3 linked regions of the Arabidopsis thaliana genome follow. The protein of the gene in region 1 interacts with the protein of each later gene in a pairwise test. Each region holds a gene or a part of one and is shown in the gene's direction. Other genes may lie near its edges.

Region 1 (3,759 bases):
TACGAGTCGAATCCACAGACACTTTCAGGTTAACTTTGTCTCCGTCCATATGTATTGTTTACTTAGTTGAATTCTTTAGTTTATTAAGTGATTAACATATATCTATATATATATATTTTTGAAACAGAGGAATTCCAGAAGGGTAACGATAAAGAATGGTTTATTATAACGGAGAGGAACAAAGTTGATCAAGGTTTAAGCCAAACAAAGAGAGTTGGTAATGGTGCGAAAAGGCAGAAACGTGGCGACACTGACGGAGGATATTGGCACGCAAAAGTGGCTGCCCAAAAGATTTAAAGCTGGAGATGGTGTCGTTGGCAACAAAAGGCCACTTGCATACTACGTTGGGAAACCATCAGAAGGCGTCAAAACTGATTGGTTAATGCAAGAATACTCTCTTGATCACTCTTCTCACAACACGACAAGGTAAGAAGTGTTTCTTGGTTCCCAAGTTATTTAGGTTTTTAAGTTTTTTGGATTCTGTTTTGAGTCTTGTTTTGAGTCTTCTTCTTGTTTCTGTTGGTGCGTCATGAATCCATTTTGTGTGTTCTTCTGTCAATGATCACGTTACAAAATCATGAAACAGGTTTATGGTGGAAAACATAAATAAAACACAAAAAAACATAAATAAAAGAGTAAATAAACATAAAATAAAATGCTTACCATTGTAATTCTTAATCAAAAATTACAATGGTAGCATTTTATTTATTTTTGATGGAAAAATAAAACACACAAAATTCAAATCAAACTCCATAGATAGGTTGAGATCAACTGCATTTATTTTCTTTCTTTTATTCCTTCCTTCACGATGTTTTCTAGTAAACCGGTATTGTTCGACACTCTTGAAAATGAATCAGAAATAAAAGAGTAATCGATGGTGGAATCACCAAAACTCTGCGTTTTTGGTTGTGGCGAGGATAGAAAATTGCCGAGAGTTCATCAAATGGAGTGAACGAGGAAGATTTTGTTGTCGTTTCTTCTCCTGCACCCGAACATGATGTTGTTTTGGCTGAGTATTCATTTATCTTTGTTATAATTAATGATTACAAAGTTTTTATTATTATTGGTTTGTTTATAGCACATACTTTAGTCTATTCTATATATAAATGTATGAAATGGTAATGTATTGAAGATCAAAGTCTTACTTGATATTTTTGTTTTTGGAAATTTATACACTAAACATTAGGCTTTTTCCTTTAATTCAAAGTTGGATGTAAAACTCTTTAACACTGTTGGATGTAAAACTCTTTAATACTTTTTAAAAGAAGAGTTTTCTGCAAAATAACCCTCCAAATCAATCTCGTTTGCAAGTTACCCTCCAAGTCCGAATTATGCAAGTCAACCCCACCTACTCTAAATCACCTGCAATACAACCCTCCCGTATATCGATGACGTGGCAGTCGATAACTCCGTTTGAATACATAAGGATTTTGTGCAAAAAACCCTCAATATAATTTTTTTTTGCAAGATAAACCTCCATGTCAAATAAATACAGATTAAACCACAATCTGAAAAATCTCCTACAATGACGTGAGAGTCGATAACTTCTAACATAACTAAGGGTTGAGGCTATAAGTGTCTACATTGATATCAAGGGGTGTTTATTCTGAATAATCGGATCCGAATTCAAATCGAATTATATATTAATATGGTATGAATACATTCACCTTTTTCTTTATCCAAAATTTTGAATTTAAATTCAAACCAAACAAAAAAAATCAAAGTTTTATTAATATTTTAGGATTAAATACCAAACTCTGAATTTGAGTACTAAACTGTTTATCCCAATGATAAATGTTTTGTTTTAGATACTATTTTACGTATCAAAAGTTTTTTTTCTTTTCGTCACGTATCAGAAGATTCAAAACTAAACCAAAATTCGGATTGAACACTCTTAAATTTGTATGCATATTATCGCTAAACTCATTACAAAAATGAAATGGAGTATTTGTATGTGATGCATAGATTACTAGTTTGATAATGTTTAAAAGGGAAGATACAAAACATATAAATAATTTCCCCGTAATTAAAGTGTGGCAATTAGAAGCTGTTATCCAAATTACTTCAGGTTTATTTAATTTTCAGATGGAAGGGTATTTTCGTCAATACTCTTCGTATGTTACTGAACATCATAAACCCTTTATTCATTTATCGCCGTCGTTGTCTCTCTCACCGGACGTTGTTTTGTTTCCCTCCGGCGATTTCATCGGAGACCTTCACTCATGGCCACAAGGTTCTCTCTCGCTCTATAGTCAATGAATAGAACCTTTAATTTTACCTTGTTTAATTTCTCGTCTCTCGCATTGTTAGTAGGAGATTAAGAGCATTCAAGAGATGGATGCAAGCTAACGGCGTTGATTGCAGCGAAGCTCTCAACCTCGTCGACGACGAAAACGATGGTGTCTCTGTGAGAGCATTCTGCGATTTGAAGGAAGGAGATGTTGTTGCCAATATCTCAAAAACTGCTTGTCTCACTATCAAAACCAGTGGAGCTCGTGAGATGATCGAATCTGCTGATTTAGATGGAAGTTTAGGTCTCTCTGTGGCTCTCATGTACGAGAGAAGCTTAGGTGAAGAATCTCCTTGGGCTGGTTATCTTCAGATTCTTCCTATTCAAGAAGATTTGCCTCTTGTTTGGTCTCTTGAAGACTTAGATTCTCTCTTATCTGGAACTGAGCTTCATAAGGTTTCCTTTCCAAATTTTGATTTACCATTGCATTGTAGTTGAATTCACTACTCATCAGTTTGAATTTTTTGTAGGCAGTTGGTGAAGGAAGATCATGTTCTTATATATGAGGATTGGAAAGAAAACATTTTGCCGCTTACCTCTTCACTGCCTCAGAATGTTGATTCTGATTCGTTTGGAATCAAAGAGTATCTTGCTGCTAAGAGTTTAATTGCTTCACGGTCTTTCGAAATCGATGATTACCATGGATCCGGGATGGTTCCTCTTGCAGACCTGTAAGTTTACCTCACATTTGTCTTCATAGGGCTTGTTAAGCTAAATATGTATCAACCAAAGAAAGTTGTTAGAATTGAGGTTTAATACCTTAGAAATGCTTTCCTGTATCAGCTGTTTTTACTCCCTAAGCTTTGCATTAACCATAGACTTATATAGTTAGTTACTTAGTTTATGGTCATATAGATGTTTTCCTTATTTCTCTGTTCACTTCCCAGACTTGTGAGTTTTTATTGCATCTTGTATATCGGCCAATTTGCCTAGTTGTTGGACCAACATTTGCTTGTTTATGTTGTCCTCAAGAGATTTCCGCTGTGTAGATTTTAAGGTCTCGTTAGGTTCAATCACTTTGATAAGACCGAGTATGTTCCCAGTCCTGTCAGTGATTGCAGATAATCTATACAGTTAGCAATCAATGTGCTGATTTTTTTCACAGCCTTCTTCTGGATTGCAGCATCTTATTGGTTATTTACTTGGATCTGTGCTTTTCCGTTTTGATTTTTTTTTTCATGTGGAAAAAATGATCCTTAGAAGTCGGTTTCGATGAACTAAATGTGATTCTAGCATGCTAGGTGAATTTCCTGACAAATGCTTGATGATTTACTCATTGTCCACTCTTCTTAGTATTGCCTGTTTATTTCATTTTGCAGCTTTAATCATAAAACTGGGGCAGAAGACGTTCACTTCACTCATGAATCCGATTCTGAAGCTGATGAATCTGACAACGATGATGCTGCAAATGAGACCACTGATGAAGACGAGCCTTCCAGTAAAATTTCTTCCTCGCCTGAGCAGTCTTT
Region 2 (3,759 bases), on another chromosome or scaffold:
CTAGGATATGATGATTGCTTTAGAGACACACAGAAAGAGAGAAACGGTGGAGGGTTTGTTTTGGGCCCCTGACACCATTAAAGCCAGTAAGGATTAAGTGTATCCACTTTTAATTAATCCTAATTTATATACTATACGGATTAGTAATATTATCCTAATGGTTTTTGTATAACTTAAATATTTGGCGTGGTAATATTAAATGTTACTCTGCTTGTATGATTGTGAGCAACCAGATCTCTCTTATCTGTACATCAAAGATTTGGTTCAGGTTACTAAATCATGGGTCTTCTACATCTATCACTATTGAATATAGTTTCAGATGTCTTTGATTGTCAATGAAAAATATCTTGGGTATAATTATTACTAGTCAGTGCCATTTTCTGACAAGAGAGAACGTGTCTGTTTCTTCTGGGGGATTAATTAGGTTTAGATAATTTTGGTATCAAGTTTTATGATTGATAATATACGATTAAGTCATTGGCTAACTAGCTAAAAAAACTTTTTTTGGCTAACTTGGTAATTTTTGGTGATGCAGGTTGTTCATTTGGGTTTCTGTATAGAAATTATCTCCTTTTTTGTCCTTCGAAACTTATCTTACAGTATCTAATATTGAATTTATATTTTCATAATATAAATTATTGTGGATTGGTCATAAATTATGATCTCAATAATAATGTTCTTATGTTATCATTATTTGTTTGTATTTTTATAAGTCAGTGAGTATGACTTGTACCGTTCCTACTTCTATAGTGAAAACGGAAGTCTTATAATGATAATGAAGCTTGTTTTTTTTTCTTAACACTTTAGTATATATAGAAAAATATACATATTTTGGAAGAGATTATAATAAAGAAAAGATGAAGAGCAATCAATTGTCTTGTAGGATTTTCCTTTCTTCTTGTTATATTTATCGTCACATATTTCATCGTTTTTTCACTATAAGTGCAATAGATACATTTTCCACGAAAGTGTTTTGGAGATCCATATGAAAATAGACCAACCAGAATGGGAAGACAAAACATAATGTGAAACCCAAAGAAGATGGAAATGGAGGGTGCAAAAAGGTAAAAAGTAAAAGTAGAAATGATTTGGGGTTTGAACGGTCAAGCCATTGCAAACGAGAGTATTTGAGAAATGATTGGACCTTCTTCTTCTTCACATTGGATACTTTCACTACTTTTCTTACTGACGATGAACGAAAGTACGAAACCAACAAAATACATAAGCGAGCGTCTTATAAAACATGATTGCATGAAGTAAGTATACTTTGGCTTCAAATGGATTTTTTTTTTTGTATAGCTTCATTGATGATCATTTTTATATTATGTGAATGATATTTGTGTTTCGGTGGAATTGAAAGATACTAGATTCCGTTAGCTGAATTTGTTTACATGTGATGAAAAGTGAAAGTCGACTGATTCTTCTTTCCAACCAAAACAAGCTATTTGGCATAATTTATTTTTCCACCAAATGGGCAAATGTATATCTTTTAGCCAAATATAAATAAGCCGAAAAAGCATGTTAACAACAATATGGATTATGAGTATATCTTACTAATTAGTAATTACATCGAGAAAAATAAACAACTATTTAGATTTTGAACCCACCAAATTCAGCTAATTTTCCCAAAAACATTTGTTATCGGATTTGGTAAACACTGTGGCATCACGATACCTAAACTTTAACGCACGCACGCATCTCTGTTATGATGAAGGTCACTTTCGTCTTTTTCTCTTGTATATATCTTCTTCCTCGCTAACTTCTCTTCGCCATCACTGAAACTAATATCTCTCTGCTTCCTCCTTAGAACTTCTATTTGCTTCTCTTGCATTCCACTTTTGTGAGTTTCTATTATCTTCAGTTTTCGAGATAGAACTTATAAACTCTGTAATAATATGCATTGTGCATATTTTTCTAGGTTAAGTTATTTGTTTTAAAGTGTTCTGTTTCTTGCTAGCACTAAATCTATTGCTCTCGTTTATTTTGCAGATTCATTTGAAGTAGTGAGATTGACTCCAGAGATAAAACAAGAAAGAGCAACAAAGCAACAGCATGCGGTGGTGGTTGTGTCTTTCTGCTTATGTTTTTCGTACAGTAGTAGTCTTCTGTCGTGTGATTCTGTAAACTGCGATCTTACTTCAGACATAGCTTTTTTATGTAATGGGGTCGTCTTTTTTCTTCACATTCCCTTACTTTGTCCGCCAAATTATTTAAGACTTCGTTTGGATACTCTGTTTTGGGAGAAGGAATCAGTTGGGGAGAAAGTAGTTATGGTTTGTCAATCAGCGGGACAGACAAGATTTCGTACACTCAAACACGAACACGGTATCACAGGAAACATTGTAGTTAGAGTCATTGCATGCTTTCAACCTCTCCAAGATTGCCAGGTTATTTTCTTGTTTGATGAGTTTATGTTATTGCAATATATTTAGATTTTTAAACCACCAGAACTTTTTTTTATTGATTTCGTTTTAGCTTTGATGTTGTGTATTTTGCAGGCTGAATATTTCCGTCAATTGTTGAAGCCCGTCACGTAGAGTAGCTCGATACTTATCGTTCTTGTTTCAAGCCTAGTTTCTTCTATCCATTTAGTTGGTAAGTTCCAGTCTTTGCACACATAATCTTTTGACCTCCCATTCTTGATTATAAGTAGCTGATTTGTTTGAGATGATGATGTCCTCTGTTTTGGATAGTTGATTTGTTTAGTGTTGGATGGGACAAGATCGTGGGTTTGGGTTTCCTACTCAGCGCTTGTGTTCCTTGTCTTCCCTAGCTCTGTCTCATCTCGGGAAGCAAGACTTGAATTTAGTATCTAAAACCTGCGGCGACACCACCGACATGTTTTCTACTCGTGGATCTTATCAAGTTTCTACCCAAGTCTCTCAATCCTATTTTGATGGGTATTGTGGATGGGTTCATGGGTCATCCCACCTACAGCAGCAGTTCTTGCCTCCTCAAAACCAATGTATGAAGCAAGTACCTCTTCAAGTAGACGGTGTTATATCTAAAGCTGAGGAACAATGTAGTCAGAAGAGGTTCCTAGTGTTTGATCAGTCTGGAGATCAGACGACTTTGCTACTCGCTTCCGATATACGGAAATCTTTTGAGACCCTAAAACAGCATGCCTGTCCTGATATGAAGGAAGAGCTCCAAAGAAGCAACAAAGATTTGTTTGTTTGTCACGGAATGCAAGGAAATAGCGAACCGGATTTGAAGGAGGATTCGGAAGAACTAAATGCATTGCTTTACTCTGAAGATGAGAGTGGTTATTGCTCTGAAGAAGATGAGGTTACAAGCGCAGACCATTCCCCAAGCATTGTAGTATCAGGCCGTGAGGACCAAAAAACATTTCTTGGAAGCTATGGACAACCATTAAATGCTAAAAAGAGAAAGATACTCGAAACCTCGAATGAGAGTATGCGGGACGCTGAATCGAGCTGTGGTAGTTGTGACAACACAAGGATTAGTTTTCTGAAACGTTCTAAGCTGTCTAGTAACAAGATAGGAGAAGAGAAGATATTTGAGACTGTAAGCCTCTTGCGCAGTGTAGTCCCCGGGGAGGAACTGGTGGACCCGATCTTAGTCATCGATAGAGCCATTGATTACCTTAAATCATTGAAGATGGAAGCGAAAAATCGAGAAGCATGAGGTTCTTTGTTTGTAGGATACCTAAGACATATTAGCATTGGCAAGTGGACTTGGTTTCTAAACAAAGTAGTAGACATATTGGACCGTGGTACTCTTGTCAAGCTACAAAGG
Region 3 (3,529 bases), on another chromosome or scaffold:
GGAAGGTCATATATTGAGTACGGTGCCAGGTAAGATTGTCCAAACTACGAATAGGATATTTTTAGTGCAAAAGTACATGCATTATGCATGAATCTTCATTTATGATTCTATTTGTCTATTTCCTCAGGTAGGGTTCGCTCACTATTCTTCGTTAGGTAGCTAGCTTAATTGCTTTAGCTTCTCGGATTTTACCCGATCCGATCACTCAAGCTTTATGACACAATGTAACTCATCTTCTTCTTGTTCTTACACAGTTACACGTATAGCTTCAGACTGTCGAGCTCTAGACACTAAAACAATCAACAAAGAATGTGATTGGGTGAATATGGTGACATTGTGGTGAAAAGAAAATATTTATTGGTAAATAAAAATAAATGTAAAATAGTGAATTAGTTAAATGGTATGAAATGGAGATATCTTTCGGTGAATGAGAATGTTATAGTTGTTTTTAGAAAATAGCAAAGTCATATTGGTAAAATATTGAGAGAAAATGTAAAATGTTTTTTTTCCGTAAATGACTTTGAAAAGTATAATTTATTTGATAAGCTTGGATATACAAATATTTTAACCCGCTAAATAATATAGATATATCCAAAAACATAGATAACATGATTATATGACAAAAACATAAATATGTTTTATAAATTAGATGTCTACATAACGAAAATAATGTAGTAGAGGAAATGTGTTCTACAAGTTGTAGATATAAGAGCCAAAACATATAAAAACTTCATTTTGATAAATTAGATGTGCACATAGAATACTAATGTTAAAGAATTCGTCACGTAAGATTTAGTTATAACTATTATTTTTCTTAAAAGAAAGTAAAATAGTCAAAATTTGAATCATTCTCTTTAGATGGAATTAATTTGATTATTTATTCAAATACCACGTTTGTAATTACAGTCATTGAGTGCAAATATTAATATAAAAATGGTAGAACATTGTTGGTTTTGTTTTATCATAAACTTTTGTAAAATGTTGCCTGCATTTTCCAACGAACAATTCTGTTGATTCGTTTCTTGATATGAATAAAAAACCTTCATTATTGTTATATTATAGTACCCCAAAAGAGAAAAAAGAAATAGAGTCGTCTGGCTAGAACGTGAACACGAATAGATTAGTTTAGTAGTACTCTTACGCGTCTTAATTTAATTCTAGTGCCGACTAAATATAACCGCAGATTAGTTTAGTTAATAAACAGTGCAAGACTATTATGAGGTTTGACGATTTTACTTTAGTTTATTTAGTTAGTAGTACAATATTATTTAATATTACAATGCAGTTTGACAAAAGAATCTGAATTTAATTAATTTAGTAAAAGCCTTTTTACAGAGAGAATTTTACGTGTGACAAGGAGACACAAAGAGCTAGTTAACGCGGTTTTAAAAGTCCCATTAAGACAGAAGAGCACCAGCTCTTGTGCATTACCTTGGTAAACATGACTTCAGCTACTTTAACGTTTAAGATTCTGAATTATGTTTAGGCCTTTTAACCAAAAAAAAAAACTTGTAATTTTTGTATTATATATATATATATATATATATCTATAATCATGCATGTGATTTCATTTTGCATCTCATTTATCAAAATAATTCGATAGTTAAATTATTCTTATGATTAACTTTGTCTTTTGTTTGTACCTTAAAAAATCACATGCTCTTAGCTCCTAGAAGTTGCCTCTAAAAATAGAATCCAATGTTTCCTCTTATAATGTTTTATAACTTTCTGTCGTATCTTGATATTAATATTCTCATATGAGTACTGATTTTTGTTATTTACATTTTTATTCAAGATTCTGAGGCTCAAGAAGTAGTAACTTTTAGTTGTAAACAATAGTGTACTTTTGTGGAACTAAAGAATTAGCTTGGAGCCTTGGAGGTCAAATCAATAAATATGCATTTTTGAAAATAAAAAATAGGGATTCTCTTATTAGTGATCTGTGATTGGGTGTAGCATATGGGATTGTGATTAAGGAAAATCTTTTTTATAAATAAATTAAAAACACCTGTCTCTTACATTATTTAAAAGAAAAGTATTAATCTCTTTGTGTGTGCCCCATGCTACTTTCTTTGACTATGTTCATAGTATTTTTTTTTCTTTTGAGTTCTTTATGTTTCTCTTTCCATTTTTGTTCTCTATAAATAGAAACACACCATTCTTCTCCTCCAACTTCCTCCCTTAATTAGTATCAAAAATGGTGAAAACACTTCAAAAGACACCAAAGAGAATGTCATCTCCATCATCATCATCTTCATCATCCTCATCAACATCATCATCATCCATAAGGATGAAGAAGTACAAGGGAGTGAGAATGAGAAGTTGGGGTTCATGGGTTTCAGAGATCAGAGCTCCTAATCAAAAGACAAGGATCTGGCTTGGTTCTTACTCAACTGCTGAAGCCGCGGCTAGAGCCTACGACGCAGCACTCCTATGTCTTAAAGGATCCTCAGCTAATAATCTCAACTTCCCAGAGATCTCAACTTCTCTCTACCATATTATCAACAATGGTGATAACAACAATGACATGTCCCCTAAGTCTATACAAAGAGTAGCAGCTGCAGCTGCTGCTGCCAACACAGATCCTTCCTCATCATCAGTCTCTACTTCATCTCCATTGCTTTCCTCTCCATCTGAAGATCTCTATGATGTTGTCTCCATGTCACAGTATGACCAACAAGTCTCCTTGTCTGAATCATCATCATGGTACAACTGCTTTGATGGTGATGATCAGTTCATGTTCATTAATGGAGTCTCCGCGCCGTATTTGACAACATCACTTTCTGATGATTTCTTTGAGGAAGGAGATATCAGATTATGGAACTTCTGCTGATTCTACTTTCATTATACCTTATTCTTTGTTTCAATATATATACTTGAGTTATGTAACTTATACAATGTGTTATACATTTTTTTCTTCCCTTTTCTATCAATTCTCACAATGTATGGAACATTTGGGGATCTTTGTACCAATATCTAAATTATTTTTGAAATTAGATATTTTTCATGTTAAGAGTTCACTAAATCTAGTAGTAGTGGTTAAGTATGGAAATAGATTTATAGCTTTTGAACAAAGAACTTCGAATGATAACAAGTTAAAAGGTAAAAACGAAAAAGTACAGAATCATATTGTTGTTGATTAAATTCTGAAACCTAAAAGTTAAGAGTTAGTGTTGAAAACAATCATTTCAGATTTTATAGTATGAATGCAAAATTTGGCGTTACTGACTTTAACACTAACACTGTTTGATGTAAATGTGTACATGATACAAAATAAGTGGTGGTAAGATGACTATGCGATATAAGTACTGTATATATGATTTTTCTTTATTAAGGATATAAAAGTATTAGCTAATGAGTTAAACAGAAAGCAGATTTTTCATGTGAAAAGTTTTGCAAAGTCAAAGAGTAAGAAGCAAGTTTCATGAGGCTTGTCATAGAAGGCGATGATTAATCCTACTTAATTATTGTTGAATAGAGTAAGTGTATAAATATTATTTATTTAGAAGAAAGATAAGGAAAAAGAGAG

What was found.
Region 2: the proteins of AT3G56570 (region 1) and AT5G50010 interact in a two-hybrid assay, tested with the Arabidopsis thaliana proteins (one large-scale study listed by BioGRID).
Region 3: the proteins of AT3G56570 (region 1) and AT1G44830 interact in a two-hybrid assay, tested with the Arabidopsis thaliana proteins (one large-scale study listed by BioGRID).

Annotation. Positions count from the first base shown.
Region 1 is NC_003074.8:20,956,438-20,960,196, forward strand, and holds the start of AT3G56570 (SET domain-containing protein), read left to right. Parts: upstream 1-2,146; 5' UTR 2,147-2,222; coding exon 2,223-2,233; intron 2,234-2,310; coding exon 2,311-2,686; intron 2,687-2,764; coding exon 2,765-2,961; intron 2,962-3,609; coding exon 3,610-3,759. Other genes in the region: NAC065 (NAC domain containing protein 65), read left to right, coding at 1-28, 234-430.
Region 2 is NC_003076.8:20,346,844-20,350,602, forward strand, and holds the start of AT5G50010 (transcription factor bHLH145), read left to right. Parts: upstream 1-1,771; 5' UTR 1,772-1,840; intron 1,841-1,989; 5' UTR 1,990-2,387; intron 2,388-2,498; 5' UTR 2,499-2,595; intron 2,596-2,693; 5' UTR 2,694-2,712; coding exon 2,713-3,648; 3' UTR 3,649-3,759.
Region 3 is NC_003070.9:16,931,595-16,935,123, forward strand, and holds AT1G44830 (Integrase-type DNA-binding superfamily protein), read left to right. Parts: upstream 1-2,104; 5' UTR 2,105-2,197; coding exon 2,198-2,833; 3' UTR 2,834-2,974; downstream 2,975-3,529.